2 linked regions of the Bombyx mori genome follow. The protein of the gene in region 2 purifies or fractionates together with the protein of the main gene of each other region. This does not show direct contact. Links are inferred from orthologs where the notes say so. Each region holds a gene or a part of one and is shown on either strand. Other genes may lie near its edges.

What was found.
Region 1: the proteins of E3 ubiquitin-protein ligase RNF13 (region 2) and AP-3 complex subunit delta purify together in Homo sapiens (affinity purification with mass spectrometry; 3 studies listed by BioGRID and IntAct, counting the BioPlex papers as one, with this or other methods). This does not show direct contact. The link is inferred for Bombyx mori from reciprocal best matches to the Homo sapiens genes RNF13 and AP3D1.

What each region holds. Positions count from the first base shown.
Region 1 is NC_085121.1:9,322,159-9,324,954, reverse strand, and holds part of AP-3 complex subunit delta, read right to left. Parts: intron 823-2,796; coding exon 699-822; intron 247-698; coding exon 1-246. UniProt on the Homo sapiens protein: Part of the AP-3 complex, an adaptor-related complex which is not clathrin-associated. The complex is associated with the Golgi region as well as more peripheral structures.
Region 2 is NC_085121.1:15,589,507-15,593,133, forward strand, and holds part of E3 ubiquitin-protein ligase RNF13, read right to left. Parts: intron 3,081-3,627; coding exon 2,920-3,080; intron 2,404-2,919; coding exon 2,299-2,403; intron 1,872-2,298; coding exon 1,819-1,871; intron 768-1,818; coding exon 691-767; intron 93-690; coding exon 34-92; 3' UTR 1-33. UniProt on the Homo sapiens protein: E3 ubiquitin-protein ligase that regulates cell proliferation. Involved in apoptosis regulation. Mediates ER stress-induced activation of JNK signaling pathway and apoptosis by promoting ERN1 activation and splicing of XBP1 mRNA.

The sequences.
Region 1 (2,796 bases), about 6.3 Mb from region 2:
CTTTTAAAAACTCCATCGATGAGTAAAATATCTTCAGTTTTCTCATTTTTTATCGATTCTGTCGCACTTTGCTTGCGTTGCTTTGATTTCTTGTCCTTCTTTTTCTTAACAGGTTTATCAGGCGTGTCGTTTTCTGCGTTTTTGGATTTTTTTGCCGGTTTATCTTTCTTTTTGTCTAGCAAACCGACGCCGGGGGACGGATATTGTTGGAGACGTGACGTAAGAAGCTCGTCTTCGCGTAATGGCCTTAAAAAAAAAATTATGATTTACAAAGTTTTTATTCGATTTTAGGTATACAGTTCAGATCTAAAGGACGTGCCGCGGGTAGTAGCGAGCAACGACACGTCATTATAGATCCTCCCGATCCACTAACAGTGCTTTTGGGTAACCCAAGAACCGGTCATTGTTCTCGTCGAACCCATCGCTTGCGACGAAAGGCTCGACGAGTAAACTGACCCATAAATATAATCCACTGAGTTTCTCGCCGGATCTTCTCAGCGGGTCGCGTTTCGGATTCGGTGGTAGATTCTGCGAAGCACTGCTCTTGCTATGTCCAGTGTTAGCAACACTTCCGGTTTGAGCCCTGTGAGCTCACCTACATGTTAAGGCGAAGCTGAAATAGCCTCTCCAGGCTCTCAGCGTGGGTAGAAAAAAAAGCGAGCAACGGTAGTAACTCCAAAGTATAAGCTGTACTGTACCTGTCGAGGTCGAGGTCGAGCGCGTGGTGCGGGTCGTCGTGCGGCGGCGGCGGTTCGTCGTCGGACGGCGCCGCGCCCTCGGGCAGCTCCCCGCCCGCGCACACCGCCGGCCGCCGCTCCCACTCTGCACACACACGCATATACAGGTTACTTACTATACCACCTATACTATAGCTGATTTTGTATTGTATAGATACATACGGCAATTCAAGGCGATTATTAATCGTTTTTCGACAACATTCATCCTCAAATTAGCCTATATATATATGGACTTTATGGCGAGAACGCGAGGATTGAAGTTGTGTGATTTGTTTTATTTTGTCTATTTAGTGTTTCTTTAGGTTTAAATGTATAATAACGGTGGTTTATTAACTGTTTAATATCTGTGAAAGTGCACAAATGTGGGATAATGAAACAAAGCCGCTGAACGTTACTTCTCGCGATCCTCCAAAAAGTCCACTGAAAAAATCTCAGGCATGAAATATAATCTCAGATTTTACTAAGATTATATTTCATCCCATATCATCTCGTCTCATTTAATTTAATTTCATCCCATTTGATTAATGTGTCAAATTAATCATCTTCATTTCATTTCATTTCACTCCATATTATTATTTTTCATAAAAATAAGAATATACATTAAAATAAGACATGACTTAAAGGTCTTAGTTACCAGGTCACAATTTCCCTTTAAAAAAAAATAGCCTACTATAATTTAATATTCTAATCAAGAAGTTCGAAAACATAAAAATGTTTATTTCTACAAGTTGAAATGTGCGTGTGAGAACTAATAAATCAATCTACCTAGTCAGGTCATAAATTCTGTCACATGTTGAATGTAAAATAATTGAAACAAGTTTATTCATTATGTAACCATTCATATACCAAAATGAACTTAACAAAACATAGATTCTTATGACACTAAAGTTTATTCAAAATGTCCTCCGTATTTTGAATACAGGCCTTCAATCTGCGCGGCCAGTCGTCTATCGCAGCACGAACGAAGTCCATGTCAATATCGGCGGCTGCCTTAATCAAGGCTTTGAGCACGCCTTTTCCTCCAAGTGTTGCCATATTTTGTAATTTAACGGATTCAAATCTGGACTGGAGGAGGGCCAGTCTTCGTGCCGGATGAAGTCGATTTCACGCGCCGCCAGCCAGTCTTGTGTGCTCTTCGCTCTATGAGCTGGCGCCGAATCTTGTTGGAATACCCAGTGCCTGTTATTGAACATGGTATGAGAAACAGGTTCCACAAGGTTCGTCAGGACTGTATTTTGATACACAACTGCATTCGTTTTTACACCTTTCTTACAAAAATGTACCTCTGTTAAGCCCCAATAAGAAACTCCCAACCATACCATGAGCGAGGATGGAAAATGACCTCGTTGGACACGCGGAATACGGTTGCTCGCTTCTTCACTACTGTGTGCATACACCTTATCATTTTGTTTGTTGTAGCTCTCTTCTACGGTAAAAATTTTTTCATCCGAAAAAATAATTTCCCGATATTTTTTTCCCGCGTACCGTTTCAACAAAGCGCGGCATCTCTTCAGTCTCAGGTCCATTAGACGAGCATTCAAACGATGTCCTGTTTTTCTTTGATATGCCCGAAGCCCTAAGTCTTCATTTAACACCCTTTTCACCGTGGTTCTGCTTAACCCCATCTGAAGGGCCAACAGTTTCTGCTTACGTTTGGGATTTCTTTGAATTCGCGCCTTCACAGCTTTTATCACTGCTGGAGTCTTAACAGACCGAGGGTGACCACTTCTTGACCTGTCATCTACACTAGAGTCTTCATTGTATCGTTTGATGGTTTGATGGCTTTTGGTTATATTCAAATTTTTCAGTATGTTAAAAATTTTAATTGGCGCGTAACCGCAACGATGCAACGCAATAACTGCAACACGGTCTTCTTTAAGCGTCCACTCCATATTTAAAAATGAGTAAAATTCTAAAAGTATACATTTTTATTTTCATGAACAATTCGGAATTCGAATTCAATAAACTTTTTTGTGGTCAGCATTCTAAAAAAAAAGTTTTTAATGTGACAATACTTATGACCTGACTAGGTATAATTTCCTCCAGAAAATTTGAACAA
Region 2 (3,627 bases):
GGGGCGGGGGTCGTGCGGCGCAGGGGTACTGGCTCATAAGTCGATGTACCGCGGCAGCGAGTGGTAGGCGGGAGCCGGCAGCGCCGCCACCCCTGCGGACACACAGACAGACGAACAACACTTAACACATTTCAACTATCAAACAATTTCTGTATTATTTTTTTATTGCTTAGATGGGTGGACGAGCTCACAGCCCACCTGGTGTTAAGTGGTTACTGAGCCCATAGACATCTACGACGTAAATGCACCAACCACCTTGAGATAAGTTCTAAGGTCTTAAGTATAGTTCCAACAGCTGCCCCACCCTTCAAACCGAAACGCATTGCTGCTTCACGGCAGAAATAGGCAGAGTGCTGTTACCCTCCCGCGCGGACTCATCTGCACAACTAGGTACCACTATTTATCTATTAGGGATGTATTATTTAAACTACATTTTATCGTTTATTTCCGCGTTTTCTATATGAATTTTGTGTTCTTTAATATCCATGTGTCCTTAGTCGTCCGTGGCCATTATGACTGTGGAGTATTCGAAGCTTCGGAAGTAATATAACGACAATAAAAAAGGCAAGTTTAAGCTACCTATGACTCCGAATCGAATACTATAGTCGTTATTCTGGTCCGGTTCGGACGTGACACAATGAGCGACCTCAAATGTCACGCCTCAAGCCAGCGGCGGCGCGCGGTACGTACCGATCTCCCCGCGCGAGGAGCCGTTGATGGAGTGGGGGGCGCGCTCCTCCAGCAGGGGCTGCGCCTCGGTACTGCCGCTGCACAGAAACAACATTTATTTATTTATGTTGTGAGGCTTTTATGGAGAAGGTGGACGGAGTGTGTGAGTTATGTTGATTGTCCGTTGCGTGTTGTTCTCCGGAAACCTCATCGGGGCGGTCAATAAAACACTGAGTATGATTACATGTTTATTCGCGTCAACGACCGCGGTGGATCGCTGCACGTTAACCACTGACTGACTAACGTCTATTGCTCATTACTACAACTGCATAGTAAGCAGCTAAGCGGGGCGGGGTATCATTCTCCTACAATGTTTATTGTTATCGGTCTGACATTTCACCACGGGGAGAGAGGGTATGAGGGTGTCCTACCGATACTAAATTAATTATTATCTTAATAACACTGTATTGTATAATACAACTATATATATTTTTAAGGGATTATGACCTGGTAACTAAGACCTTTAAGTCATAGCTTATTTCAATTTATATTCTTATTTTTATGAAAGATGAGTGAAATGAAATGAGATGAGATAGGATGAAATATAATCTCAGTAAAATGGTGGTCATTTACTGAGATTTTTTCAGTGAACTTTTTGGAGGATCCCGAGAAGTTACGTCCAGCGGCTTTGTTTTATTTTCCCACATTTGTGCACTTTCACAGTTAATAAACCATCGTTATTACATTTAAACCTGAAGAAACACTCAATAGACAAAATAAAACAAATCACACAGTTTTACTCCTCGCGTTCCCGCCAAAAAGTCCATACAACTATATATGTAAAGAAACAGACACAGATAACACTTTATAATGGAATATTCTAAAAGTGGTTAAGCAATAATAAAAGGCTTAATTGCGTAGAAAAAAACATGTAAAGCCTTTATTTTTCACAGTATTCTTGAATAAAATAAAACTGAACTCGTCTTTTTTCTCAATGACAGAGGGTACAGTACGTAAAAGAAATACTTAAAAAAAAAAGATTTTATAGAAAAATTACATAAAAAAGGTTTTTCTTTACACATATACTATTCCATACAAAACTATTTTGCATCGTATTTAGTGGGTGGCAAAGAGAAAAATCGAACTTACTTCAATTCGTCCTGATCAGACGTTTCTTGACTATCTTCTAGTTCAGGAGGGACCTGTGGAATAAAATTTCGTATTTCGTTTCAATGAAAACTCGTAATAGCATTGATCAAAATATATTTGTTAATCATTTTGCTTTCTCGACGGGAACGCGAGGTATGTTGGTATGCGGATTGTTGAATTCCCTGCATTTGTTCTGTGTTATGTAATCTATACTAATATTATAAAGAGGAAAGATTTGTTTGTTTGTTTGTTTCGAATAGACTCCGAAACTACTGGACCGATTTGAAAAATTCTTTTTCCATTAGAAGCCGACATTGTCCCTGACGAACTTAGGCTACTTTTATTTATTTATTTTTTATTTTATTTTTTTGGTTTCATGTGTGTTTTAATGTTTCCGAAGCGAAGCGAGGGCGGGTCGCAAGTATATCAATAAAATGCCAAGGAAACGAAGGCTATACAGCCAAACGAAATGTGATTTACCTCTGCATCAGCACTATTCTGGTTATTTCGAGCCCGCAACCTCGACATGAATCTCGCCGCTCGCACGAAAGGATTCTCGCGTTGCTCTTCAAATGTTCCTCCTCCCTGAAACGATTATATAAACAAAAAATATTAGGACTTATTTGTGTCGTGAATAAATTCTAGTTAATCCAATTTTTTATTGTTGTTCTTGTAGGCAGATGAGCGTACGGTCCACCGGTTGGTGATTTTTTATTTATCTTTTATCGCTTAGGCCCATAGACATTTACAACGTAAATGCCGTCACCTACCTTGAGATATAAGTTCTAAAGGTCTCAGTATAGTTACAACTACTGCCCCACCCTTCAAACCGAAAAGCATTACTGCTTCACGGCGGTGGTACCTACCCGCGCGGACTCACAAGACGTCCTACCAGTGATTACGCAAATTATAATTTTGCGGGTTTGATTTTTATTACACAATGTTATCGCTTCACCGTGGAAGTCAATCGTGAACATTTGTTGAGTACGTATTTAATTAGAAAAATTGGTACCCGGCTGCGGGATTCGAACCCCGGTCCATCGCTACATACGAATGCACCGGACGTCTTATCCTTTAGGCCACGAGTGGTTGCGGGCGCACCTGGTCCCGCGGCTGCGGCAGGAGCGGCTCGGTGTCGGAGTCGGAGGAGGAGGAGGAGCGGCGGGGGCGGGGCTCGCCGGCGGACACCACGCGGCGCTTGCACACCGGACACACGCGCTTGTTCTGCGTCAGCCACGGGTCGATGCACGCGCTGTGGTAAGCTGCAACACGATATTTTTTTTAAAGGGATTTTATGACCTGGTAACTAAGACCTTTAAGTCAAGTCTTATTTTTATGAAAAATAATAATATGGAGTGAAATGAAATGAGATGATATGGGATGAAATATAATCTCAGTAAAATGGTGGTCATTTACTGAGATTTTTTCAGTGGACTTTTTGGAGGATCCCGAGATGTTACGACCAACGGCTTTGTTTCATTTTTCCACATTTGTGCACTTTCACACAGATATTAAACAGTTAATAAACCACCGTTATTACACATTTAAACCTGAAGAAAGACTAAATAGACAAAATAAAACAAATAGCACAACTTCACTCCTCGCGTTCCCGTTAAAGTCGCTGCAATATGTGCATACATCCACTAGTGTACACGAAATGGATACTTTTATAACGTAAAATGGGGCAAATCGGGACCCTTTCCAAATCCCAACACAAATTTTCAATGGTTTTTCTTAGGGTAATACTAATAAAATTGAGATTAAAATGGTTCCGGGGGCTTCAATTATTATATACGATGCGTTATTATA